Linked DNA regions of Lonchura striata. The protein of the gene in region 1 binds, or shares a complex with, the protein of each later gene. Links are inferred from orthologs where the notes say so. Each region holds a gene or a part of one and is shown on either strand. Other genes may lie near its edges.

Evidence for each region.
Region 2: TBL1XR1 (region 1) and CORO2A share a complex: the UniProt entries of both Homo sapiens proteins name them as parts of the N-Cor repressor complex. The link is inferred for Lonchura striata from reciprocal best matches to the Homo sapiens genes TBL1XR1 and CORO2A.

What each region holds. Positions count from the first base shown.
Region 1 is NC_134612.1:20,895,479-20,910,019, reverse strand, and holds the start of TBL1XR1 (F-box-like/WD repeat-containing protein TBL1XR1), read right to left. Parts: upstream 6,913-14,541; 5' UTR 6,564-6,912; intron 5,613-6,563; exon of another isoform or gene 5,555-5,612; intron 1-5,554. UniProt on the Homo sapiens protein: F-box-like protein involved in the recruitment of the ubiquitin/19S proteasome complex to nuclear receptor-regulated transcription units. Plays an essential role in transcription activation mediated by nuclear receptors.
Region 2 is NC_134642.1:48,080,808-48,096,011, reverse strand, and holds the start of CORO2A (coronin-2A), read right to left. Parts: upstream 6,085-15,204; 5' UTR 6,016-6,084; intron 1-6,015. Other genes in the region: TBC1D2 (TBC1 domain family member 2A), read right to left, coding at 13,716-13,917, 14,593-14,714.

The DNA.
Region 1 (14,541 bases):
CAATACTTCCTTTAAACTAATATAGGACAAATAAATACACTTCAACAGCTTCTAAATCTTGCACGTCCTACTTTTTTGACCCAGATCTCTTGTTATTTCCCCCATAGGTCTATGCAATATCAAAACTATTTTTTCCCCACAAATTTAGACATAACCTAAAAGAGGAAAAGTTCTCATGCTTACTGTGAGCTAGAGAGACCAGGAAGCAGAGGGGGAGGGTCAGACTCAACTCATCTCTCTTAAGATCAATCGGTATTTTAAGGTAAGCTCCTCTCTCGACTGCTGAAATTAATGGCAAAAATGCTCATTTGTCCAAGAGGATTGCAAGTTAGACCAATATCAGTAATAAGTGAAAAATAATGACATCTTTTTAGTACTGTTTTTACAAAGCAAAATTGTATTTTCAGAAGTCATGCTGACACTCGAGCATGAATCAGTCTGTCCAAAAACCACTAAACAGCTATGAAACTTGTTATTCCACTCCTTGGCCAGCCTGGGCAACTTATTCCAGGAAATCAAACTGTCTCCTCTTTGCCTGGTACTTTTAGGGAACCATCAGGGGATTCAAATCTGCCTCACATGTGCTCACCATACATAACTCCCCGCTCAATTTGCTGGTGATAGGTCACCCATGTGAAGAGCCTGAACTTTTAACATTGTTAATGTCAAATGGATGCAACTTTACGGATGGGTTCTATTTAGGGCTCTAGACCTAGACAATTTCTGTGGTTTTGGCACTGGGCACAGCATTTAGCACTGCATTTTCACAAACAGTAAATATTTGACCCTTAACTCATAACCTTGGAAAAATACTCCAGGAATAGGCAGCACAGAGATCTTTTCTGCAGCTCTCTGGTTGCCACCAACAGGCACGTAGCTGTGCACAGAGCAAAGTTTCCACTTTCACAGTCCCAATTCAAAAAAATCTACCATCAGCCTGACATCAGTGGGGCTGAGGGGGAACTCTGTGTGCAGCCAGAGAAGAGACTGAATCATTCCCCAAACCCACAACGGGTTAAAAGGAGCACCAACATTACTACAGCATTACTACAGCTGCCCACCTGCCCTGCCAGGCTGGCAAAACTATTTCTTGCCCCACTGAAGGGGAAGGGAAGCTCTGCTACTCACACCCCACCAGCTCAAACTTCCAGCACCTCGAGTGATCCCAAATGCCACCCAGCGTGTCTGCATATGGCACATGGTTGTAGAGTGTCTGTAACACACTGACACTGAACACAGCCTCAGATCATAAAACAAGAAAACCCACACAACTGTTTTCTCTGGATGATTCTGATTTTTTACTGCTAGACATTACTAGTAAGCAAGATTGCTCCTCTGCAACATGGAGACTTCAGAATTACAACAATAAACACAAGTCAGAGCACACAACATAGCCTTTTACTAATACTGCTCCCAGGAACAGAAACTACACCCTCACGGGAGTTTGCAGAAGCCTGCAAACCACACAAGAGTTGATTTTTAGAAATGCTAAGCACACACAGAGACTGCCAACTTCACATGCAACTGCGGGGACTCAGCATCTTTGAAAATAAGACTATTAATATCTTACTTTAGAGATGCAGATGCCAGCTTATACTCTTCTTAAGAGGAGTCATGCTTGCACCAAGCACAACTACAGCACTTATTCAGGGACCAGATCCCCACTGCCACCATACCTCCAGCTCCTGAGGCAAGCAGGATGCAGAGGACACCAGGAAGGGCCATGGGCAGGCACTGAACCACACAGCCAGGCTGACACCCAATCTGCCTGCATTATTCATCCTCAAAAAATGGTGTATTAGGCCGAGAGCATACCTAGGGATGCTGCTTCTGACATCCTAGCTAGCATATTCCAAAGGACCTCAGCATCTCCACTTAGCACTGAGTTCGGCCATGCACAATTATATCCAAAGTAAACTGAGACTCTCTGAAAGATGTTGCATATATTGGCCAAGACAATTCCATAACACTCCCCCTCATCACTTGGGAGCTTCTTTAAATGAGTTCTTCAGAAAGCTGTGCCAATTCACCAGACTTTGTGATCACTATTTCTACAGGTAAGGAAATACACTCAGAAGTCTTCCCTGCAATCAGCCCATCCAAGAAGCAAGCGAGCAGGTGTGAGCTGCAACACCAGCAATTTCACTCCTTGGTTAGCCAAGCCAGCAAATCCTACACACCCAACCAGTGCGTACATTTTCCCCTACAATTACACAACCTCCAGGTTGGAATGACCACTTACTTCTTATCAAGGCAGAATTATTTTTAAGGCTCCTTATCAATATAAAAAGTTAAGTCTAAAGGATGCCACAGAAAGGTAAGTGGTAAGGTATTAAAGACAAATGTTTCAGAGTGTAAGGTGACTTATGGTTCTGTAGATCCTCCTGAACCAAATAAACACTTAACCTGAGCTCAAACAAGGCCACTAACACTCTAGGGCATTTTGTATAAACAAGTGCAACCTTGTTTTCATTATGAGAAGGAGCCAAAGGGCCTTCTCATCTTGAATTAGATACCACAAGACGGAACCCTAAGAAGTGTGCCAGTTTTCATACAAATTGGCAAATTCCAGACCAGACTTCCAAACCTTTTCACTCAAGCTATCAGCTCTCCAAAAGTGAAAGCTACGCTGCCTCATTTTCACTGCTTCTTACCTCCAGTTAGCTAATTCAATTTTGCAAAATTAGAGGAAAGCCAATATATTCCCCTACAATTTCATATCAAAAGATATTCCTTATTCCTCATTTCACTGTCACACTTTATCTCGGAAGAAACCAATTATGAAATGAATAAAGCAGTCTCCATCTACTCTGCTCGGGATCACTTGAACCTTTTTCTAGTAAAGTCAGTCGTCATTATGTGACTTTACAGAAATTAAGACCATCTAACTTCATACTTCAGCACTTAAAAAACTGAGCACATTTGGGACGGGGGTAGCTAAATCAATAGCAGAAACATAGAAATGGTTTTTTATCACCTGTTAATTTGAAACTACTACATTAATGCAGCAATGCAACTCAAAAAGAGAGAAGAGCTGTCAATCATAGTTCCTAATGGGAAGCTCCTGACACTTCTTCACCTAACACAAACACTTAAATTAGTATTTAAAAATGAGCATGCAATGAGTATATTCTCAGAGCAGCTACTTTTTGCAGGAGCCAAACATGCCTAATTACAGAGTGTGCACACACACACTTTCACTTCTCCCCCCAACCTGCAGCTACTTGTATGAGCTGATGTTTAGGGCACTAAATACAGTCATCATTACACTCTGAACTCTGCGTGCAGGCATGTGCAAACACACACCCAGCGAGGATGGTCAGCACACCGACCAAAATCACACCACTCAATAAAAACAACGTGAATTAGATTATGAATGAGTCACACTTGGGTACGATACATCTCAGTATCACAATATTGCAGTACTGACACAACACCGACCTGCAGCACACCCTGTCCTTGCCCTCCTCTCCAAAGCACAGACCAGACCACTTCACCACCACCCTGTCCCAGCTGGGAAGGGGAAGAGCTGGCGGGAGACTTGTGTCTGCCTCTCCTCCGCCTGCCAGCAGTGTCCTCGCCAGCAAGGTGTCAGAATTCACACAGGCACCACCATCTTCAGCAGCTGTGGGACCAGGGGACAGAAGAGACAGGCAAAGCAAGCAAAAGCTGGAGGGGTGACTGTCACCCGGGGCTCCCAACCAGCAGAGGAATTAGTGATGAAAAGGTGCCACACCTGCCACTGCCTCAGCCTTCCCAAAACACTTGACAGTGCTGTTCTGTCAAAATAGCATCGGTGTAATGAAAGATTCACATCTTACTGCCCACCACTAACACAAAACACACCCAACTCCTGGGAGCAACTTCACAGAGAGCTGCAGAGCTCATTCAGCTGAACGAGACCACTGATGTTCACAAAGCTGTGTGTTTTACAAGACTTCCTGACTTCTGCACGATTACATCCTTGTAGGATGTGGGTCTTTACTGCCACTACAAAACTTATAACAGCAAACACATTCTGACTCAAATGTGAAGTCCACATTCTATTAAATTCCAGACCAAAATGAAGTTAGGTAAAATAACTCAGTTTGCTTTACGTTATTCAGATCTGTTCTTCCTAACTTAAAACAACATTATCAGCAATTTTGGCCATTTCCCCTAATCCGTCCAGAGCCTCTTTATGCCTAGGGCTCTAGCACTTTTAAGGATCAAACTCTTTCATGATGGGAAAATGACTATGAAGTATTGCTGTTGGGTACTTAGCGCTTATACCCTGCCTTACAACTTCAAAGCATTACACAAACATCAATAATTACCATATATAGAGTAAAACTGAAAGAAGTATTCATATTTAAAAAGAAACTCACAAGAAAAAAAGTTTTAACTACCTGTTTGAAAGAGGAAAAAAAGCTTAAGCAACAGAATCTTCTGTAATTATTGTGTTCTTTATGCTACAAACACACATTCTGGCTGTGCATGTTCAAACAAACAAAAACTATACACTCTTGCAAAGTCTTAAAAATAAATTATAAAGCCCAAAAGCCAAACCCCAACCCTTCTCATACATTTAAATTACATTTCCTTCTCTTTTCCTCAAGGAATGAGAGCTAAGTGCTCTCCAGGTGTTCCCAATAACAGTTTGGGAGGCAGGCCACCAAGCTCCCAAGATAGAGTACCAGAAAACACAGTTCTCATGGAGAAAAATCCAACTTCCCCCAAGAAACCTTAAGATAGCAACAGTGCAGTGGCTCAGGTGACCTTAGGTAAATAATACAAAATGTTATCATTCCATTAAACCTTAAACAAAACCAAAGGGGGAAAAAACACTAGAGAAAACCACAGAAAGTTTGTTTCAATCAATTACAGGGCACCACCTGTGGCCTAAGCACCATCCCAGCCCCTTTTTCCAATGGATAAGGACAAAAACCCCTTCAGAGCTCATCCACAAGCACATACCCACTCACTTAAATTTAAGGACACACACGGGAGCTTGCAGTCCAGTCCTCATTTGGAACATATTCCAAAAAGCCCTTTAACACACATGTCCAAAGGAAGGCCCCAAATACAATGTGAGCCTCACGTGGACAAGCCTTCAGGTTACTCAGAGCAGGAAGAAGGCTGGAAACTGCCCCAAAGCCCAGGTACAACCAAACCCCAAATACCAACTTTGCATATGGTGCCCTTGATGCTAAAGGAGCACAACGCACAACACCCAAAGGGCAGAGACCATCAACAGTAAAGAACCTTTTTAAAGCACACAACGTGCTCAGACATTTATTTTAGCACAGAAGGAGAGCAAAGCAAGTCAGACAAGCCTACAAAACTCTTTTTTTTATGCAACAAAGACCTGTTTCTCCTGATCATGCCTCCCATGCCTTAACAATAAGGAAGGAATATGTTTTGTGATCCCCTCCCCCATAAATCAGTTAGGAATTTGATTTACACAGACAGGAAAACGAGGAAGTCGAGCACACTGGAGAGTAGTAAAAACTTCACCAGCAAACTTCACTTTCCTACACAGCGACCTACAAACCAAACTTTCCTCCAGACTCACGTGTCATCTGCAGCAACCAGCCCCTGCCATAAAGCACAGACAAAGTTTTGCTGTTCTGGGGATAAAGACAAGCGAGGGAGAGACTTTTATTCTGTCAAGCTGCCTTAAAAGGAAATTCGGTGATGAAAGATTAAATTCACCTGGAACAACACGATAAATTTTAACCCTTTCGAGGGTACAACAATAACAAGCCACATATTTCAGGACTTAAATCCTCCACCAATAAAACAGTACACACTGCATCAACCGTGCGAGCCCCTCTAACTGATGCAAGACACAATTTACACCAGGGTTTCGGACGGGGATAAGCCCTGGCAAGGAGAGACGCTGTGAAATGGGAGAATAAAAGCTTATTTTATGCCCCGAAGCGGGCCCGCTCCCTGCCACCGCGGGGCACCGCATGTTCCAGCCCGAATTCCGCCGGAAAACTGATCAATAACTTGGCTCTGGGGGGGTGAACATCGGGAATGGCCCGGGGGTGGGGGTGTATCCCCTCCCCAGCAACGGGGAGTCGGGATGGGGGAGAACTCCGGGGAGCGGGGGAGGGGAAGGGCCTCCCCTCCCCCATCCCGACCGGGCCCTCCCCCCTTCCCCTCCCCCCAAGTAAATATGCGGGAAGGGGGGGAGGGGAAGCCGCTCTTCCCCACAAATCGGGCTAAAAATAGGCCTCTCGCCATGGCTCCCGTGTGCCATTCGCTGCCGAGGCCGGTGTCCCCCCCATCCCCCGCTCCATTAAACCTTTTCTTCTTTTTTTTTTTAAAAAAAAATGAAGGCGGGTGGGGGAGGGGAAGCCAGCGGCGCGGGGTGGGGGAGGGGTGAATATGTGTATATATACATAAATGTGTCTGCATATCTATCTATGCATGTATATATACACATACTAATAACAACGGGGGGTCCAGAGGAGCCCCGTCCCCCTCCCGCCCGCACGGACACAAACAGGGCGGCCGCCCCCACCCCATCCCCGGCCCCTGCCCGCCCCCGGGGCTCGGAGCCCCCCGGTTCTTACCTTGCGAGCGGCTGCTCCCCCTTTCCCAGGGAACGGAGGCACGAGGAATTCACCCTGGATTGTCTCTCCTCCTCCCGTGTGTTTTATACCGCCGCGTGTATATACGCGCACATCCCTGCCAGTGTGAGCGTGTGTGTGTGTACACGCGTATAGTTATCGATTATATTTATATATATACACACACATATATATATGTATTTTTAAGGTGTCCACACCGAGAGGAGGAGGAGGAGAAAAAAAAAAACACCAGGAAAAAAAAAACCAACAAAACCACCACACACACACAGGAGGAGGAAGGAAAAAAAATACCCAGCGCGTAGCGCTGTGATATTCAATTATATCCGAGCCAGGGGCCGGGGGAGGGGAGGGTGGGGAGGGCGGGTGGGGGGGGACTGGAGATTAAGTCCCGAGGAAGGAGGGGAAAAAAAAAAAAAAAAGTAATATGTGTGTGTGTGATTGAGATTGAGGAGGGATCGGGGCGGAATGTGGGAGCTGTTACTGGGGGAAGGAGCCAAGCGGCGCGGAGCAGCCGGCGGCCCGCAGACACTCCGGGTGCCCGGCCGCGCCGAAATGGGCGCCGGCGGAGGGAAGGGAAGGGAGGGAAGGGAGGGAAGGAAGGAGGAAGGGAAGCGGCGAGCCTCGGGAGGCGAGGCCAGGCGAGGAGGAGCGGCCGGGCCGGCCGCAGGAGCCCGGCGCGGGGCTCGGACGGGAGCCCGCGGGCCGCCGCCTTCCCCGGCCGTGCGGAGGGAGGCGGCCGGGCACGGCGGGCCCAGGCCGCGGAGCTTTTTCTGGGAAAGACGTTAAACTGCGCTGCCGACAGGGCTTATGTAAATGCAGGATGTAACATGGTGGTTTTGCCTCTCGCGGCCCGTCGCGGTTGGCGATGGCACCTGGCACCGGGGTCCAGCCCCGTGTGGGCACCGCGCTACCGCCTCTGCCCTCTCCTTTCATGAAAATAATCCTCCGCAGCACTAACGCAATGGCCTACCTGGGTGCTGCTCATTTTTACAATTGAAATGCTGTTTGTCATCTATAGGGCCGCATTGTTTGTTTTTGAAAGCGAGCTTTGTTAATCAAAACCACATTCGTCACCAGGCAGCCCTTTCCATCTTAAAATGGTTTTGCAAGAGCATTTCACGCTCTTGGGCGACGGTCCAGCACTCTCATGTCCGGACATTGGCACCCGTGCAGAGTCCCAGTGACCACAAACCCTGCACAGATCCGATGGAAACATCCGATGTTATCCCAGCTCCACACACGCCAGCCCAGCTCTGGTGCTGCTCAAACAGGGTGTCCACATCTCCACATCACCACACTCAATTTCAGAGCTTGATTTCGCTGCAGCTGGCACTGCATAAAGAGCTGGTCATGAATGTAGTGTCTTTTTTCTTTCGTCTTCTTTTTTTTTTTTTTTTCTTTTTTTTTTTTTTGTGAATAGACCATTGCCAGAGAATTATGCTAGTCCTAAGGCACCAGTTCTGGATTTTACCTTCAGTCTAACACCTGGGATATACCATAGGCAGATTTTGCCTACCTGAGCATCATTACACAAGCAGATGGAGTCCATCCACTCCACAAAGCTTTGGGTAGGTCTCTGGGTGTAGAATCCTCTTATAGTACTCATTTTCTTCAGGGTCAAACCCATGCGTTTTTCCTTCCTTTCTGAAGAAAAATATTTAAATACAGGCCAAAGTCATGTAGAGAAACATAAATCTCTCTAGGAAGCCAGGAAGCACATTTGTAATTGCAAATCTTGGTGTCCAGCATTTATTTGTGTAATGACTTTGGTGTCCCAAGTGAGCAACTTTCTCTTCTCACTAATGGTGTGGAGGCTGTCTGCTTCAGGTATGTAAAGAGGCAATAGTTTTGAACACTATATCCAGTCTAGCTCCAAAATTTGCTGAAAGTCAAGAAATTTAAGAGGGAAAGGAAAAGTGGCAATGCACTCATTAACACATTCACACATTATAATCTTAGATCTGTCCGTGCTTCTAATGGAGTTGGACCTTCTGATACTCTGATTTATTTCCCAGGTGAAAGAAGATAAGCAGTAACAGTGTGTGGAGGAAGGGAAATGGGAATATGCACATAGCCTAAGGCAAGAGGAAAGGGAATTCTTCTGGGGGACTGGGGGACAGCAGGGGCCTAGAGAAGGATATCTGAGAAGTCCATGAAATGGGAATGAGAGGTGTGACATTCAGAAAGCTTGTGTGAGAAACGGGGGAGGGAAAATCCCTGAAGTGTGCGTTGTTTGGCCCTCAGGAACTACAAACACTGTCTTCCCATCCATCTGCCGAGCAGCGACAACGTGCTGAGCTGAAGTCATCTGGCTGAAGGTTTCCGTGGTCTGGTGTTCTCCAAATGTTCGGTCGCGGCTCTGGGGTGCCAGGCTCTCTTTTTTAACATGGTGATGTGCTCAACTGGGCAATTTCCCGAGAAGTTCTGTTCTGCAGAATCTACAAAGTGAATTCTGGTGGATTTGTGCTTTTAATAGTCATCCCTCATCTGTTTTGTTCTGGTTTCCCTTGTTTCACGAAGGCAAACACCCCGCAGGACTGCACAAACGCCTCTCACTGTCTGTTATGAGCTTTAGCCTTTGCAGTTCTCTTGCCCAAATGTGCAGCTGGATTCAGGGCTACAGGGGACACTTCCAGAGCGTATGGGAAGGAGGCTCTCCCTTTCAGAGGTTTCCAAGAACGGATGTTGGGCAACACGGGGCAGTTGAGCAGGTTGTGGTTTACAGCAGATTGTTCAGTGAGCGAGCTGAGCTCAGGGAGTTGGCTTTGCCCTCTGGGAGAGCCACTTCTAAACAATAACTCTTGTTACACTTCCCAAAGCAGCAAGAAAGATTGGACAAAACCCTAACTTTCAGATGTATAACTGGAGCAGATCCGAGGTCTCGGTTCACTTGTGTGTTTGAATAAAAGCACGCTTTCTGAAGTTCTTCAGTGACACAGCTGCTCGCAGCCAGTGGATCCATCATCCCAATGACTGGAAAGTCTTCTCATGCCCATATTTTTAAGACGCATCCTTAAAATAGTTGAAATGACTTGTAACAGGGAGTGCTCGGCCTACCAAGCACATATAAGCAAATATTTGCAATAACTGGCCCAGTGTTTGCACAGCACCAAGCACACTGCCTGGACTCCATAAATAATAATACTTGGCACTTGCAGAGTGGTTTCCATTTTCAAAGCACTTTAGTCATAACCCTTGACACCTATACGGCCTTTTACATCTTTACAAGAATTAATTAATCCTCACAATGCCCTGTGAGGTAGGTATGCACTGCAATAATAACAATAACAACAATTAATAATTCATGCATTCTACTCAAAAATCACTTCAGGGATTAAAATGCATCTGTAATACTTGGGGTTTATTAACATTTTCCAGCAAATAATAAAACCCATGCTATTGTGTTAAATCTATATAATATCCATCCATAAATCTTGTGCAGATTGGAGCGAGACTGAAGGCGCAGCGAGGCACCAACACACCAGCAGGAAGCAGATGGCTGGCTCCAGAAAAGTTCAAGCCCAGTCCACACACAATCCAGGTGCCAGAGTGGAGCCCACCACGCACGGCAGCACGTAAATAAATACCAGCGAATCAGGAAGGCTTTTTGTTCATTTTTAGCTCTTGTTTCTGCAGGGGCTCCCCCAGGCTGGGGTGCTGAGCCCATCCTGCACAAACACAGCACCAGGAGGGTGCAGGCTCCTGGTGAGGAAGGGCAGTGACTCAGCACCGCGCTGAGCAGGGAGCAGGGAGGAGCCTGGACAGCACCAGGCAAACACTTTCCCTCCGCACTTTCCCTCATAAAAATTACCATAGTGCCTTTGATATGCAGGCAAGCCCCAGTTAAACCTGATATTTAAACCAGCGGGACTTAAACCCTGTCGATTTAAACAGGAGAGCCACCAGGCTCCCACGGGGCAGCTCTGGGTTTGGCAGGGCAGAGGGGGGACCAGGCTCCCCACACGGATGGATCCCCCACAAAGATGCTGTTGTCACTTTGCATCCCAAAGTGGATTAATGAAAACCACAAGGGCACTTTAATCCTAATGAGTAGGTACTCCCACACCCTAGCAATTCCACCAAGACTTCCTCTGAGTCGGAAGCACTGAGCAGTTCGGCCCAGAGACCTTCATATTCTTAAGACCTTTTCTTTCCCCCTCAATTCGAGAGAGATGTCAACATTAAGGAAAAAAAAAACCCTCTAAATTATTTTTATTTGTATTGTGCATACTGAGAAAGGAAACAGAGGTTCACGGTTGGAAGACAGTGGTTCTATTCCTTTTGAGGCTGCTGACAATGACTCTTTGCAAGGAGATGACATGTTCCTGAGCAGGGAGCATCTTCTGCCCCACCTTAACATAAATTCATTGGTGATTCATCATTTATTGATCATATATGGTTAAAAATGTCCAACACTGATGAGCAACATAGCAGTACCACTAGTTTCATTAGTTGCCTTAAAGCATACGCACAGAGATAACCCTGTAGGGCTCCATGAGCCAGGGAGGAGTCAATCCAAAAACAATCATCTCGTTGATACACTTTCCAGATCGATTGGGGAGGCTTCTGCTTCCCAGAATAAACAGCAAGAGCAGAGCAAGAGCATGACCAGGTGAACAGTCCCTCATTCACAGGCAGTTGCTGAGCTGTGTGATCCAAAGCCATGAAGTGTTTCCTTCAGAAGTTTCAGGATAGAAGTTACGGTGCTCATGTTCAGCTCTCACTCGGTGTTCATGCATGTGAACTGTTCAGCACCTCCCTGGAGCACGGAGCTTCTGCTGGACACAGCTGCTGGACACGTTACTACTTTCAAAATCTACCACAGGATCCTAAAAAATAGTACAGATGAGCAAGGTCAGGACTGCTGCAAGATGGGGATGCCTACCAACAGCCTGGCCTCACTTTAATTGCTGCCAACTTCCCACCCAGTGGCCCATCATTCCCTGAAGGCTGTAAGAGAAGCACAGATGTGTGTGTGAACGTGTCACACCAAGGAGAGCTTCCAGATCAGTGCCAGAGGAACGGGTTTTTAAATGAAAATAAGAGATGCCCACTGCCAGAGCTCCTTCAAGCACCCTGCACCAGATTCCTGCTCCTTGACTTCTACTGGGCCACATGATCCTTTTTTTTTTTTTTTTGGAGAGGAAAACCTGCAGTCCCAGGGCTTCTTGCCCATGGAGGGGCTGTTATTTGTGGCAGAGAATGTCCCTGCCCACCTGAGCTCCCACTGTGGTTCCTGTACAAGAGGGTGGACAAAATAAAAGCTGAATGTCATCCCTCACTATCCACAATCCAGCCCCAGGAGGACTGGTGGAGGTTTCACACAAGAAGAGGAGAAAAATGAGTGAACAGCCTGGACAGATCTGGTACAGACCTCACTCTGGGAAGTGACACACACTGACCTCAGGGGGTTTAGTTATTGCAGGTGCAGCACTGTAGCTTCAGTGTGAACTGGGGTTGTTACAGGCATGGGAACAAATTTGTGTTTTGGCTTTAATAATTTGCTAAGGATTGGGTTTTTTTTCTTGTTGCAAGTTTTTTTTGGTTTTGGGTTTGGAGTTTTTTTTGCGTATGTAAATATGCACATTTTTTAAGATGGAAAGAAAGTGTTGCTTCTCAGACAGAAATGCAGAAGAGGCCCTGTTAACTCTGAGGTTATGGCAAAAGTCACTTCACAGCGAGCATGTAACTCAGATGTTACATCCTACAGTGGCTGAGCAAATCCAAACTTGTTTTATTTTAACACAGTTACGAAAAAGGGTGTGTCCCAGCTGCTCTGGCATGCTTCTGAAGTTTCAAGCAAGACGTATCTGGTCCTCGTAGGAGATCAAACAGATTATCTCACAGGCTCAGGATGTGGTTGCAAAAAATTCAGTCTTGTAAGCGTCATAGTGATTCATAATGTAATCTACATTACTTGGTGTAATTACTGCAGAGTAAATAAAGGCACAAGTACAAAAGGTATAATATTTGTTATTTACCTTGATCTCTGTCACATACTTCTTTAATATTTCCTCTCAGTCCAATAATCCAGCCAACCTGAAGAAAATTTCTCTTTCTTGCCCATATTTAAAACCTGCTTTTCTTTCATTATACCAACATTGTTCTGTTTTTTATGTGAGGGGAGGACAGAGCCAGGACTGATTCCTTCCCCAATCAGAGACCTGAAGACTCTTCATGTGGCCTTCAGCAAACTGTTTATTATCAGGGCATGAGCTTCCATCTATAAAAAGAGAGGACTAACACAGCTACTAATGGTGATTATATCATTGTTAACACATAATTATCTATCTCACAAGAAATTTGGGAGAGTAAATTAGTGTTTATGAAGTATTTTTAAGATGATAATATTATTTATGTGAGGGCCATACATTATGCCTTGAGGACAGCAGTTGTTGAAAAACACCTTCTAATTAGGTTTTGCTAATGATAGTGTCAAAAAAGTGTAGAAAAAATATTAATAGGTACACTTGAAGTCCCCTGTTTTTATTTCTTAAATTATTTGCATCAGCTGCTTCCTTGTAGACAGATATGCTATATCCACTTATACCAGATGTTAAACATTGTTTTCTAGCATATTAAGCATAAAATGAATGATGAAGGTGGCAGTGCCAAAGCACACCCTGCAGTATGTTGTTATTAGACAACTTGCTCCAGTGATTAAAGCCCTTGAAGTCAATAGAGGTTTTGTAGTTGTTGGGTTGTTTTTGTTTCCCCGCCCCGCTGGGCAAGGATTCCATCCTGGATCTCCAGCCTTGTCTTTCACTGCACATCACTGATGTGCTTAACACTCAATTAAAGCACACCCAGGATTTATTCCACTCAATCCCTTAGCAGAGGGTGACTGCAGGTACTCACAGGGAACTGACAGCAGCATTAAATCCAGCCAAAAGGATGACTTCACCGTATTTCCCCTTTTTTCAGTCAATTATCTACATTTTATTGAACACCCACTTCTTTCAGTTTTATTCTTGAGGATTTCTGATAAGGTATCAAACTTCCCCAAGCTGGCTGTAATCTTCACCCCCTCTCTGTGACAGTAACTGTGAGCGGCTGCAGTAGATTAAGCAGCACATTCCCACAAAACATTTCCAATACGAGACCAAATTTTATGACCTGTGCGAGCATCCTGTGTAACGTTCCTAGCAGGTACATAAAACACTTCAGGGTATGTGCAAAAAGAAAGATCACACTGGGTAGAGCAGTGCATTTAGGAATAGCTGTCAATATTTCACAGCGCTTGATGTGTGCCATACCATGAGACCAAAACACTCACATACACAAAAAAAAAAAAAAAGAAAAAAAAAGAAAAACACACACACACACAAAAAAAAAACCACCTCAACAACAACAACAAAAACCAACCAAATAAAAAACAAACAACCCCAAATCTCATAGTGGAAGAATGAACTGAGAATTATTTCCTCAGTTGAGCCAATATTTCCTACAACATGGCTTTCTGTGAGTCAGCCTTTTTGTGCCACAGAACTTAAAATACCAAAAGTGAGATAACAGTCGGCTTGTTGGAAATAGAAATTTTCAAGGGATAGAAGCAAAAACACAGAAAAAAAACCCAGCTTCTGGACCTAGAGCGTGGTGATGAGCATGGTGAGATTACTGCAATATATCAAATAATCCTAAAAAAACCATCCAATTTATCTGAGATTGTAAAACACGGAGAATCCCAGGTATGTGGGAAGCACACCACAGGGATTTCAGACACTCCCCAATCCTCCTGCAGCACTTAGGGCAGAGAGCACAGCTCTGCGAGTTGTCTCTTTCTTGCTCTTTGATAAGCAGAAGTGGTTTCATCCCAACCCCAGCACCTCTAATTTTGCTGCTGAGAAGCCCTGGGCCAGCAGAGAGGAACCTAAGGCAAATTCCACACTGATTCCACATAGTTCAGGACATGACTCAATAAATACACATAGAAGAGGAAGGAGAGTATTTCTAGAGGCAG
Region 2 (15,204 bases), on another chromosome or scaffold:
AGATGTTTTAGGGGTGACAAGCTGGACAAAAGAAATTTCTGCAGGAGGTCAGGTAGCTGTTGTTTGGTTAATGGCAGACTGAGAGATGTTATCTACCTCCAGAGAACACTGCTGTTTGCACTCAGTGACATTATTTAGGTGAGCATCCTGTTCAAGTTTCTAGCTATGCATCATCCTGAGAAGCTCTTCCCACAATTCCTCCTCTTTGCTACTAAAAACAAAACTGCCTTATTACCTTGCCAAGTAATAACTTCTGCTTCCAGCTACTGGCTCTCATTGTGGTTTGTCAGCCCAACTGAATAATCCATTATCTATAAAGACAGAAGCAATTTTTGATCTTTTCAATTCCACAGAAACCAAGAGTTCACCAAAATACAACCTGGAGACCAAGAAAGAAAAAAAATGTCAACTTTATACTTGAGCTTTTACTTATAAAATCTCATAGAGGGGTTGGGTTTTTCTGTTCCAAGACTAGTGTTGCCTGGCAGGATGCATCACACCCAGAACTACTGCACAAGAAGATTAATGTATGGTAGGAGCACGAGCTTCAAATAGATGCAAGGGACTATGGAGTCAAACCCTTCAATCCCTATTAACCCTTTAAATAAATGGCATGTTTTTTAAAACTGTGAGACACTGAATTCCAATTGATTTCTGTGGAACATGTCAGATGCCAGACTATCATTAGCAAAATCAATCTTTTCAATTAAGACTCGAGCATCAGTTACTGACATAAAGCCTTTTGCAAATTCAAAGCAAAGCAACCATGACCACAGACAGGAGGGGTCAGAAGACAGAGTGTGATCCTCCCTGACTGCAAGGAAATGAGCCTCTGTATGTAGAAGAACCTGAACATTACAAGAGCAGGAACTTAGAGCAATGCTATTCTGATTTTGTTTTTGTTCCTCTACATGTGCATTTTGGTATTCAAATTAAATTAGAGAAAATGGCAGAGAAAAATAATATGAATTAATTACATTTAAGTAGATGTTAGCAAGACAATCGTTGACTACTTCTACTTCTCTCTTGCAATTAAAGAGCTGTCTGGATTCTCTGTGCCTATTACCCTACAATTTTGTTGCCAACACAGGATCCTTTTATGGAGAAGACAGAACAGAAGAAACCAAGGGCGACAAGGAAGATTGGTCTTTCCTGGCATCATTCACATTACAGGTGGTGTTCCTAAAAACCTCAGTGTTAGGCTTCCTAGAAACAAGCACTGCAACTGTGCCAGCAATTCAGGCAAAATGGTAGCTATGCTCTTCTAAGGCAATATTGTTTGTATTTTTCAAGATTTGTGTGTTCTTGGTTAGGGAAAACACTGTGAAACACTAGTTAAATAACTGGTTTGAATAACCTCAGTGTAACCATGTGAAAGGTGGCTGAGAGCTGAATAGCACTGGCAGAGTCAAATTTGCTGCAGCTCAGAAAACAAAACTGCACAGAGTAGCTGTGGTGCAACAGGATTCAGCACAGATCAATGGTGTGACACTGGGGGGCATTCAGGGACAGCCCTTTTGGCAGACTGGCAAACGTCCTACATGCTAACACTCCATGGCTAAGCAAGATCCAGGTGAGGCTGGAGTAGGACAGTATGGAGAGAGATCTGCTGCTCCCAGACCTTTGTTCTTTTTTGCCTGCTGTATCAGTCCATATCCCAGCCCACAGAGTGAGCCACGTCTGAGAAAAAGGGACTTGTACACCAAGCACTTCTCATGCATCCTACATTGATTCCCAGAAAACCTGAGATGAGATCCAGAAATTTCAGACTTTACCAAGGAGGAGTTCAGCCCTTTTAACATATGGTCTAGAAGGCAAGCTTAAATCATGGTATTTGTAGAGCAAGGACTGATTAATTTCAGCTCTTGGGAGTAAACCCAGTATTTGCCTTGGCCACTCCCTGCACCTTTTTTTTTCTGACTGTCCCTGCTCAACTTTATGTACAAGCTCAAGCCACAAGGTTCTTATTTCCTGTATTAATGCAACTCTGACATGGATAGCCTTGCCCAGTCATCTTTTTCTGGGAGGAGCTCTCCCCCAGCATTGCCTCCTCTCCTGCACAGCTACCAGAACTGCAGAAGGAAGAAAAAGATGGAGTTTGGCCTCTGCTGCTTTCCTGGAAGCTATCTTATCAACTTTCATGAACTTTGTCTTAATCTCAGGTATATAAAATCTCAGGTATATAAAATACCACAACTGCTGGGATTTTCTTCTACTTTGTCTTCCTTATCATTTTCCTAGGTGACTTCGTCCCACAGAGGGAGAGAGGCAGTGCAGTCATCTGCACTCTCTGCAGGTAGGTCCATGTTTCTTGGCACAGAGATAAAGAGCAGGTTATTCACCAGACTGGAAGAAAACTCTTCAATAAATCAGAGCCCTGAAGGATGCTCAGAAGAAAGAGTGAGAGAGACACCAAACTTTGGGCACTGCTCCAGAAAATTTGAAACTGAGTGAAGCAGAGCAGGGAATAGGTCAACAAGGGAAGAGAGAACAGGGCTTGGAGCTGCACACTATCATTGGTCCTACTCTTGGCAGTGGTATGTCTCCAAGCTTTAGAAAGGGTTTTGCTTGGCTGAGGGTCAGAAAGTCCTATTTTTGAATTCCAAAGTGCTTTAGAAATAATAAGCATCAGCATTGCACTAATAGAGCCCTGCAGGGTGTATTTTCAAAATGAGGAATTGCTGGCAAGCCTGTAATACCACAGAGGGGAAATCCCTGGAAATATTAGGCCAGTCTAGCTTCTACTTACAAGCCAGTATAACCCTACGAGTATCAAAATCTCTCAGCCAATACAGCCGCGTCGATGATGTAAAGGTCTTTCCTGTTTCTCCTCAGGAGAGGCAGGAGGAGCGTCAGCATAATTGCAGTGTGCTGCAGGCTTGCCTCAGTCAGCACTGCAGCCAGAGCAGCTTAAAAACATGCACTTACAGGAAGCCATGTAATGACTACGTGTGAAACAGCTCACCACACCATCACTCTGGTGCCTTCTTGCCACAGGAGCAAGAGACCAGACTGTCTGTGCTCCTGCTGCACATCAAGAGATGGCCAGAAACAATTCTTTCAAAGCACAGCTGCTGTCCAGCCTAACCAGGGATGCCCTTGGCTCTGAGTAGCAGTTTAGTAGCAAGGTCCAGCAGCCACCCAGACAGCCCACTGGCCAACTGTAAAATCACTGGTGTTTATAACTGGGAGTCAGGAACATTCAGATAAGGTGCTGGCATTCTGTGGGGCTTTTTTGTTGAAGCAAACACTTCAAACAAACTTTCCTATGAGAACGGAGAACAGGGTGTGGCTGTCAGGGACCGGCTGAGTCCCCTTGAACCGGGCAAGAATGGATGGTGGGGAAATGATCTGAGACACTTTCCCTCCACAATGTTTCTTCACAGAGTCTCTGTCATACTCTGTCACATCCTATTCCCCAACAGTTTTCCTATCAAAATCCCTGCTGGGGAACTCAGGACCTAATAAGGTAGCATGAAGACTTCATGCTATGCAGCCACTGTGGATCAAGGAATACTAAAAAGTCAGAGGCAGCAAACTGACCACAATTTATGAGTAGCCTGCAAGGTCATGCATACAATCTAGCTTAGCCTGCCTCAAGGCAACTGTCTCCCACTCAAAGCATCACCTTTTTTCTGGGATTTACCAAAACTTTCAGTTCTCTCCCTAAGCCTCTTTAACAGTGAGTGCTTGGGCACCTGAAGCTTACAGCACAGGGACCTCCTCTGTACTCAACTATTCATCCCCAAAACACAGCTCACATCACATTTAGGTATCCGGTAGTCCAGACAGCCCACAGGCAAGAGAGAATTGCCCTTGCAGAGGCACCATAAACCTGTTCCAGAGTCAGCAGCCTGCCCGGTGCCAACCCACCTAGAAAGAGACTCACAGACCTAGGCAACAGAAAATCCACTCATTATCCAGCTACTAACAAATGGAGCAGACACAGAAACATGAAAATATTATCCATTACTGGCATTTGCAGAGTGAGAAATTTTCTCAGAAGGGACAAACCAACATACTTCAAAGACAAGCAGAAATTACCCAGGACGAAAAGGAGAATGAGAAATATACAACATGCAGAGATACTCTGAACTCTACCAGGAAATCCACCTCCTGCACAGACACAGCCAGGAGCCAGTTGGATCAATGGAATGGAGGTGATCAGTGCTGCTGGTCAGGCAGGCGCAGCTGCCACACAGGGCACAGTGGTTTCCCTTACCCCTGGACTTGCAAAATAGGCAAAGTCATGCTTAGGTGCTTTGCCTCAGAGGAAGAGGGACCAGGAGGAGATTAGGGCAGAGTTGGGAGTGCAGGAAGCAGAATTGTCTGGTTGTTTGTCCAAACATCACCAGTACCTGGGTCTCAAGTTTCCAGTCTAAGGCAACTCTACTGAGATAATGGGCTGTGATTCGTTGCTACAGAGTAACAGATTGTATGAATCTGAAATACAGCTCATCGAAGCTATAATAATAGATGTCATAATGCTAATTCACCAAACAATAGCAGCACAGATAAAAACACCTATATTTTTCCTGTCTCTAAAAAGCAACCAGCTCTTCCCTATTCTGCCTCCAAAAGCTCTAGAGCTTCCTGAAATGCTCACAACCAAAACATGAACTCCATTGTGTCTCCATCAGTCACTCCCTATCTCTGATCAAACCAGGAGAGATTAGAGCTCTCCAAAGAGGGCACAACCAGCCAGAGGAAGAACAAAGGGAACGGCAGGGCTACACAGGCTGCTCCTTTGTTAATCCACTGGGAAGCCTGCACTGGAGAAGCTTAAAGGCAACCATCAGTCAGCCTTCTCCCAAATGTTCCCTAAATCCTCTGCAGAAATCACTTCCCTTGAGCATCCAAGGGGCCAAAAGACGTTAAGCCTGTCCAGGTAAGTACCCTTTACAAGGACTGCAGCACAGTGTCTTCTTAGAAAGTATAAATGAAAAGGGCTGGGGCAGGGTGGCGTGGGAATCAGGAACAGACAGGATGCTCCAGAGCACTACAAGGAGAGCACCACTCCCTGCAAAGTGTTCACTGGCCCGGTGAGGCCAGTGCACATAGCTGGCATCACCGGGCCGTCGGTCTGCAAAGTGCTGTCTGTTACACATTCCTTTGCATCAGCCTGTCTTGACCTTTGACAGAGCTGCGGCATCAAAGCCAGACCCACGGAAGAAGCAGTCTTCAAAGCTGTGTTGCCTAAAAATATTCAGGGTGCCAGTTCCTCCTTCAGGGGGAAGTGTTACCAGGGGATCCCGGTGCCAGAGAGACACTGAAGTGGCTGTCATCACGCTCTGTGCAAGATGTAACCTACCCTGACATCAAGCACCCGAATTCCCCACAACTCCAGCAAAAAAGGCCAAATTTAACCCGTCGCACACACAGCCATAGGTGAGGCTTCTATATAAGCGAAGTTATTCAGATGGGAAATCGTGCCACCGGCGGCACTAACCAGCAGGGCTGACAGGAGACGCAGCCTTCCCGACTAGGCAGCAGGATGGCTCGGGTTGACAAGAAGCCCTGTTGCTCCACGCAACTCCGCCTGCAGACCCCGGGTCGGAGGGCTCTCACCGCGGGCCAGCTGCCAGTCCGCCACACCCCGCGCAGAAAATCCCGCCGGCAGATTCCTGCAGGAATAGCCCTGGCGCTACCGGCGAGCGAGAGACTCTTGCCCGCCGAGGGCGCGACCAGCATCGGCTGCCCGGACCGCGGCCAGCGGGAACGCCCCGCTCCCCCCGCAGGCGCGGGGGATGCCCGAGGCCCGGGCACCGGGCGGCCAAGGCATCCTCCGGCCGGCCGTGCCCCGGCGGCCGCGGCGACGGCCCCAGCTCCGCACAAAGCGGGGTGGGGCCGGAGGGAGCTGCGGCACCCCCGGCGCGAAGCGGGCAGAGCAGCTTCCCCGCCCCGCTCCCCGGCACCGCCGGGCTCCGCGGGCCCCGGCTGCGACAGGTGCCCGAGCCGGCCCTGCCCGCGCGTGTCCCGGCCCCACGCCCCGCACCGCTGCCCGCGCTCTCGTACCTTGCCGCTGGCGACGGGGCTCTGGACGTGCGCACGGGAGCCGCGCCGCGCCAGCCCGGCCCGGCCCGCCCGCCGTCCCCGCCCCGGCCCGCCCCCGCGCCGCGCCCCGGCCCGCCCCCGCGCCGCGCCCCGCGGCCGGGAGGTGCCGGCGGGCACCGGGCGCTGTCGCTTGCCCCGTGGAGCTCCGAGGAGCCTGCCCGGGGCCATCAGCTCCGCGGCTGTGCCCGGCCCCTGGGCGCAACCTCCCGTGGCCAGCGAGGGTTTGTCCTGGTGCCATGGCAGGAGAGAGCCCCTCCGCAAACACAGCAAGGTGCTCAAGTGTCTCTCCGCTACCCTGGGCTCCTAGAGCCATCCCACCCGGGCCGACATGCGCCATTCGCCGTCACCATCACCGCTGCAGGTGGATCCCCGACCATGTGCCCGGAGGCCCGGAGGTGAAAAGTGGTTGCGTGATTCTCCTACGAGATGGACCTGCCGGCACCAGAACGTTGCCGTCACTTGCAACGAGTACCACAGACCTTGCATTAATAAGCTCAGAGAGCTTTTGAGCGCTCTGTGCCATTTCCTCAGTGTCCCACCAGGTACCGCTCATTCTGAACACCGCACACACCCCTGCAACAGCCTTAATGTGACAGGCTTAGCTGGCAGCCTCTGGCTGTCTCGGCAGTCCCTGGCAGATGGAGAGACACTGCCCCAAAGCTGTAGGCCCTTTACTGATGGCATATGGGTTTAGGAAGCTTCTCACAGAGCTCACACTCAGACTTTGGGGTCAGCTAGTAGCTTGGCAGCACTGCAAACCTCCTCAGTGCCCTGAATGAGGAACTTAGTAAGCAGACAGCAGCAACCAAGATTAAATAGCAGAGGAGGTTTCTTTGGCCAGGTCACCTCCTCAGCTAACACTGCTCTGGTCCTGTCTGATTAATCAGGGTCTGAGACAGGTAGCTCATCTATATACCTTATTGCCATCACTCACTGGCTAGCAGAGGCAGCTCTGGGCTGAGCTAGGAGCTGTGACAAGACTGAGACTCAATGTCCTTCACAAGTGAGATGCTGCAGATCAGCGTAAGGGAACAGAAAGAAAAGCAAACATGCCCAAACAACAGCGTGGATGCTGTTGCCAATTACTAACTCCTCAAGGCACAGTACTATTTATCAAGAAGCTGTATATCAACCTTAGCAGATGTAGACAAAGACAGAAGGGGTAAAGGCCTCATGAACGCTTCCAAAAAAATGTCTCAAACACTCTCAAACAAAGCAACAGCAGGCAACATAGCAGGATTGAAATCACTGGAACAGTAAGAACTGCTGACAATGCCAAGAGAGAGCAGCAGGAAGTATGTCCTTAGCTGAAAGGTAATTCAATCAAGGGGAGATCATGACCACCAACCCAGTGACCACTTCCTCACTACAGTCCCCAACTCAAGTAAAAGAGGAGATTGCATGTGTGATTATGTCATTAGCATGCCTGTCAGGACATCTCAAGTTCTTGTGGAGAAGAAAAATTATGCCTGTGAAAAGACCAGATACACTGAATTCTTCAAGGGTGCAGAGCAGGATTTCAGAACGAACCAGCAACGACTAAGAGTGATCTTTATCCTTTGCCACCAGGTGCTAGCCTGGGACATTCCAGGGGACTGAGGCACTTCAGCAGATACACCACCAGACTGTTGCTGTTGAGGAAGGATGGGAATGAAGAGACTCTGACTAGATTAGAAGGTTGCTGAAAGTAAAACTCCGATTTATTCAAAATATACTGCTCTTTTATACAGAGCTTCGTGAGGACTAACTCCATTGGTTCTGAAGTGAAAACAACCCACAGCATTGATGCAAAGTGCTTGACATACAGTGATAGAACTTAACTATAAATAATGTGAAAAACAAGAGAGATAAAGAATTATTTACATTTTTCTTCAGCTTTTTCCCAGGCTAGAAACTCTCATTTTCTTTCTTTGACTAAATCTGAGTCCCACACCAGACAACTGTTGAGAAGCAATGTGCATGGATGGAGCACAGGAAGGAATTTCTGCGGACATGAATTGTGGATGCTAGTGCAGCAGCTGTCCTAGGCCTGCCCTGCCTATGAGAATTGAGATGACTTCTGGTAGCCCTCAGGATCCTCGCAGTGTGTGCTCACATGTTGCCTATATAGAGTTGTACAAGACTGAGAGGTCAGGTACTGATACACAGAGGATTTCCAGTGCTTCCTTTAACACATGTTGTGCTACAGCCCTGAGTAAGCTGTAGAAAATTGCATGCAGGATTGACAGGGAGAAAAAGACAGATTTGTTTAAGGTCTTTGGGGGGAAAGATTTCTTCTACCTACAGCTCTGCCCACTGTAGGCATCTGGCTATGCTATACATGTGCAAATGCCATTCATGAGAGCTGTTTTAGGTGCTGACAAAGTGAATGGTTTGGGACTCCCCAGTCCCCTTTGCAGTCTTAAACTGGGTGGCTGAGACTGGGGTGTCCTTGGTGATTGGAGTGAATGCTATCTCTGTTGTGTTCCCTGAGATATCTCAACTGGTCATCCAGCAGCAACAGTCTGGCTGAGCGACCCTGGTGACAGCCTGTGTCCACAGAAGTGGCTTCTGGGAAAGAGTACTCCCATACAACCCTTATGCTGTGTAAAGGGCCTCCAGCAGCCATCATGTTTGTGCTTTCTGTTGAGATCCAGCAGCAGAAGTTGGAGACACTGCAGCAAACACTAAACTCTGACTTATCCCTGCTTGCAGAGGACAAGGGTCCTGACGTGTCTCTGGTAGTTCCGCATGGACACATGCAGGAAGCTGCTAATTAGTTATGACCAATTAGCTTAATCTTTAAATAAACTTCACTGGTTCCTATTTTTCCTCCTGTAATTATTTCCAGCCCCATGCAGCACACTATCACTAACTGTGCCACATGTACGCAGCTGCAGGTGGGCATGGAGGGCACAACACCCAGCTTGGGACTGATTTAAAGCACCATTGCAATGTTAGAGCAAAACTGGAAGCCTTTTCAGAGTTTGTGGCATTGGCATTTCCCATCAAGGTGCAAGAGTTTTTATGATGTTGATAAATGTTATTAGAAGATGCAGCAAAAATATAAATTGGTTTTAATTTTGTTTTGGTACTTTTCCTCCCTGCAAAATTGCTGCCCATAGACAATACTTTTCTATTAACAAAATGATTTTGTAAAAGAAGAACATATAGGCGCTATTTTCAGCATGGAATTGTAATGTTGGGCTGAATACTATTTTTTCCCAAATGATAAGGACGGTAGACCAGAACATTTTACTCTTATTAAATAAAGGGAACAATGTAGTCTTGGAGGAGTAGACAAAAAAACTCATGCAAAACATAAGATGCCAGCTTAGCTTTGCAAGGCTGACAAAGCTGAAGTTATGCAAAGCAACAATATTGCACTTACTCAAAATGAGGGTTGAGGAACAGCCACCTAAAGAGGATACTGGACATTGAAGACAAACCCTGAAGAGCTTAGGGACATCCAATAAGGGGTGCAACTATGTAAAATAAACACACATACATCAAGTAAGCAGGGATAGCCAACGAGTGTGTCATCAGCGTGTATGATTAAAAACTCAGTTTTGAGCATTTACCCAATGCCCAGGGCATACTTACTTAGAAGAAGAATTCTCTGAGTGACCAGAACACTGTGATAAAGAAAGCTGCTTTCTAATACTCAAAACTGTGTTAGAAAGTTTTAATCTGGACAATTTTGGTATTACAAGGGGGCTTGAAATTTAATTCTGCTTACCCTGGATATTGCTTCAAGTCTCCAAGCTTCCAACAGCTTGACACCAGAATGTGCCAGAGGTTCTGTGTCATAAAAATTAAGCTCAAAGCCAGAGCAGATACTGATCCAAGAGCTGGAGTCTCAAAGACAGACTTTGTACTTCAGAGGAAGCAGTCATTTAATAACAAGGAGAAATAAGGACTTCATCTCAAAGGTAGTGGACCATGTGACCAAAGCAAACATCTAGCTGCAGCAGAGTATGGTACCTCTCACCCCAAACGTGTCATGGTTAGCAATACCTTCTCTTCCACTGACCAACCACTGTGCTGTTTTCCCCTCGGGAGAGCTCCTGAGGTTGAACAGAAAGCACATGGATAATCTCATGATTTAGCATCTCCAGTCTCTGACTGAACTCTAGGAAAGAAGTTAAAATATCTTGCATGGCATTATATCTGCTGCAGCACTGGCTTGGCCATGGGAAAGTGGTTTGTCTTCTTGCACTTGGCATGTCCATAGACCAACCAGAGCTAATATTTTGTAAAGGAGCTCTTAGCACTGGAAGATGGCTGGAGAAATCTCAGCATCATCTCAGGCCACAAGTGAGCTCTTAAATGGGAAGAGAGCAAGCCCAAGGTCTTGTGTCTGTGATGATGGCAGGAAGTTGCCCAGCCTGCAGACTGGAAAAGAAACCTCAGCACTGTGGTATAGTTCCTGCTACAGCGTGTTGTTGCTATCCTCCCATGGAAAAATGCCTTGCCCCTTAGCTCTCACCTTCACCCTGGGCGAGATGCTCAAGCTTAGGCTAAACATTAACCCAGAAACAACCTCCCCAGTCATGCCTCTTGCCACTCTGGCAGCACACCAGAATACAGGGCTTAGCTGCAGCATATGAAGGTATAGATCCAGGCCAAAAAGGGAAGCTTTACAGACTCTTCTATTGGCAGCTCAGGGAATTATTTAGCCAGCAGTGGCTTTATGTGTGTTTGGCACCACTCCACCAATTCATCCTCTCAAACCCCATGAATTTTTGGTGGCCACAAGATCCTGCAACAAAGTGAACTTACAAGTTAATGGCATATCATAGGGAGGAGGGTGGGTGTGGAAATCAAAACCCTCCTTTTTAGGGTTGGAGCTGGTATGCCAAGATTTAGGTTAATTCAGAGATAGAAAGCTTAATTTCACAAATAATGTTACACATACAGCAAAGCTCAGCAAAGTCTGGTTCTAGGTAGAAAGACACCTGTTTTATGCACAGGTGCCAGCACAGGCAGAAGGAGCTGCTGGGCTGCATGACTAGGTCAAACTGTTTCCCAGCCACAACAGTTGGCAGTGGCAGCACAAATCATTCCTGAGCACTTCATGCAGAGGTAACCAAGAGATTCAAAACACCCATGGCATTGACTGATAGTCACTGAAGGTCTTGCAGGGGCTTGAGGTATTTGTGTCTGGCCCAACTGCAATTTTGTGACCTGAGTTCAGTGCTTTTCAGTACTACTGAAGTTTATGAAGCAGAAGGAAAGTAGATGAGAGCCCATGAGGACATGTCAGCTTGGCTCCAAGGTGCAGGTCTTTATAGGCTTTGCAGACATTCCTACATCCACCACAGTTTAATAAAGAATGACCACAACTGGTTATCAATAGGACCAGAGAAGATAGTCCTCAGCAAATATATTTGGACTAAAACCAAGAGCTGAGTAAGACACAAAAGAAAAGAAACTTTAAAACAACCCTCACATGTCCTTCCCTTCCAATTTAATTTTAAAATTATTTTCAGAATTCTCCATCAGGATCAGTATCTTGATCTTTAGGTCTATGTCAGATGACTTTATGTATCACACAGATCATAGTCAGGCTGTGGTTTAGTCTAATAATACATGTTTCAAATGCCTTTATTATTAAACATAAGGGCAAATCAGGAGGAAAGATTCTTAATCTGTTGCAGAAAGCTCTAGGAAACAAAATTGTAAGTAAACATCTAATTTTCATGGTCTTGATTTAGAAGATAATGTCTGTAACAATGGCTAAATTCTGTGTGCACTCATGAACATACGTCTATAAACAGATTAGCAGTATAATATGTGAAGAAAAACCTTCTGCCTTTTAGACTTCTCTAGATGGCATACTTTTTAAATGAGCTTATTTTTTTCTTTGAGATACTGTAGCAGGCTTCCAGTAACATTTCCTTCTCATCCCAGACTTTTAATGTGTGCAGCTCTCAGTGACCTTCAGGGGACCTGTCCACTCGTCCCAAAAATTTCACTTCCACTTTGATTACTTCTCTGCCATGTGGTTGACCTCCACAGGTCTCTCCCATCTCAGTCTTCTATAAGGCATTGAAAGTTGCTGATTTGTCCAGTGAGGCAGACCATGTATCTCAGGTGAATAGACAACAATTCCACTAGAGTCTGTCATCTTGGCTACAGCCCAAGAAGAAAGGGGCTGAGAACACTGTGGGCTATGAATTCCTCCCTTTCCTTCCTCTCTACAAGTACTGACAACTTGAAGGGCTGGGTTATTAACCACTAGATAGTTAAAGAAAGCATAAGCCATTTGGGTTCAAGGTCAGTCTAAAAACATAGAGCCCCCGCCCCTTACAGCAGTGTCTGCTGCATGCTATCTGTGCCAGCACTGCAGGTACACCTGGAGTAATACACCACTCAGCAGGAAAGTGAGGCAGCAGGATCTGGCATCATGTTAAGGAAAAATAAGTTGTATTTATCTAAACAGTTGACTCATCCTGGGTCAGTGGAGAGCTGAGCTGCACAGGCAGGGGATGGGTGAGCCTGGAGGCAGGGCAGAAGGCTGTCAGACCCCATTTCCAGAGGCAGATAGGGTATCTCTGTGTGCTAGACCCATGGAGGCCAGCTCCTTGGTTCAAGGGACATTAATGTTTTTTTCTAAAGAATATCAAGTCATCTTTTGTGACCTTGTTCCCAGGGTTTTCAGGTTCACTACCAGCCATATGCCATGGACAAAACACCTTCAATATCATAAACTCCTATAGAAAAACCTTTGTCCCTCTCATAATGAATGGAACTCAGAGACAGGGATATCAATGTGAAAACCCAGCACAGGAGGACTGTAACCATGGGGCAGGAGATGGCCAGGAGTGAGACTATCAGAAAATCCAGTCATCCCCAGTAAAAGTCCACATAACACTTGGCCCTGCCTACAGGAAGGCTGGTTTCATACAGAGATTAGAGTTCCTCCATGGAGCAAACTCACCAGCATAGAGTGATACCAGGGCCTAAAAGCTAAACATGAGGAGAGAAAGCTCACAATATTTCCCAGCAAAGCAGAAGACACCTTGTGCTCCCATGAACTTCCTACAGGAAGAACTCTACTCTCCCACGATCTGTTTCCTGGTCCCAGCCTGCATCCCATGGGCTGATGTCCTCCAGCTTTCAGAACCTCCACAGACCCAACACTCATCTGGAGACAGTGTCTTGATCAGTAACAATGTTAAAAACACACTCTCCTGGCAGGCTAGACAATGAAGGCACCATGCTGTTTAAGAGAAGTTTTTTCCTGACCAGTTCTGAAGCTTTAGGTAACAAGGGAGTGTTCTTGGTTCGTTATCTCTGGACATTTTACTTGTAGTAAAGACCTCATTCAAGCTTCCATCCAAAAATGAATAAAAGCCCTGCTTGGTCTTTTGCATCATGTTAGTTCCTGTCATGACACCACAACTGATATTTCTTCTGCACCCTCAGCTGTAATCCTGAACTGCACAGGACAGGATGGGCTAAATGGGGAGAAATATAGAAGAGGATTAAACTCCCCTGACACCTTCCAATCCATTATAAATCTGACTTGGTCTCCAAAATGGTCCCATACAGCCTTGCTTATTGGGGTACATGAGCTCCTGTGACCACGCTTCCTCCTGTGGTCCATTTCTCACTGACAGTTGCTACAGATGATCTTCTGCAGTATGGGAGGGAAGTGATGATGAACTCTCTTTTTGTTAGCTCTCTTCTTCCTCTTCACTAACTACCTCCTCCAAGTCCTGAGGTCCCTGCTCTGCTCTCTCTTTCACATAGGCTGCCTTGATCTGTTCAAGTTCACGCAGCTCTGCCTCCAGCTCTTCTCTGTGCATTGACCGACGGTTCCTCAGCAGTTTCATGGGGAAGGGGTTTAAGTCATTGAAGGCAATGTTCATCAGCTTCCTACAATAGAAAGGACAGCTGTGGTCAACTTATTTACTGGCTGGTAACACATTGTAACAGATACACCAAGAGCATTCCGGGGTATTAAAGAGCAGGACCACAGACTTCAGCTCTCTGAGCTAAGTCACCAAACAGCCAAGAATTAAAGGAATTCTTTCCCACACAAACACCAACCCAAGCAGTACTTCATATACACATGTACCATCCCACCTTTTAAGGTATCAGTGTGCAGCCATCATTTAGGAGATAATGGATCAGATGCCAATTCTGATGGCTTGTCAGGAAGGAATATTCCTGATGTTGAGCTTTTCTGATCACAGAAACCTTCATCTCAGAGATATGTTGCCATTCAAGATCATGGATTGTGTTGTGTTCCCAAACACCCCAACTACAGCTGAGAGAAACCCAGCAATCACTAGCACAAGTACCAGCTACTACAAGACTAACCCAGACATTGTGGCTTGCTCTGCTGTAGCATGCCTTTGCTTGAGACAAAAAGATTTTAAGTAATGTCATGAAGGGAAAGTCAAAAAGAGACAAATGGATCTATGTCCCACAAACCTATCAATGCATTTGTGTTTCTCTTAATAAACTAGTCGCAATTCCTGTTAAATGGACCCAACAGGCAAGCAAGTACAAGTACACAATGAAAGCTTGTCTACAACTGAGTCCTACCTGCCATCCGTGATCAACCTTGTGAAGAAGCGTAGATACTGGTAGATCTCCACACTGTCATGAATTCTTAGGATTTCCTCTTCATTGTATTTAAAAATCGCAAGAGCATAGCGGAAAATTACCTGGAGGGTTGAAGCATATTTGAGTGGATAAAGTTATAAGTAACTGAAGGTCCAGGCCATCCTGGAATGAAAGATGATGTTGGGCACACAGCACTGCAGTACAGTCTAGATCCAGGGTTACTCTTGCTCTCAACAGTATGCACAAGGGCAGGCCTAAAGGAGTACAGACATAATCTCAAGAGAATGACCATCTGTTGGCTAAATTGCAACCCCAGAGAATAGCAGGCTCTACAAAAGTACCCTACAGGGATTTCACAAGGGTTCTGCAGTTTTCCCTATGCACAGGGACAATGCAGGACTCACATTTTCAGATACTGCCTATCTTATGCTTCCTTTATCTGTAATAGTCTTAGTTGTGTCACAGAGTAGGAGACACCAAGGCCTTCCACAGAGATGTTTTACAGCACAACTATCTGCTAAAAAGTACCAAGTGCACAGAATCAGGGACTAGGTCAGCCTACTAGCAGCAAGTACATAGAAAACAGGGGCT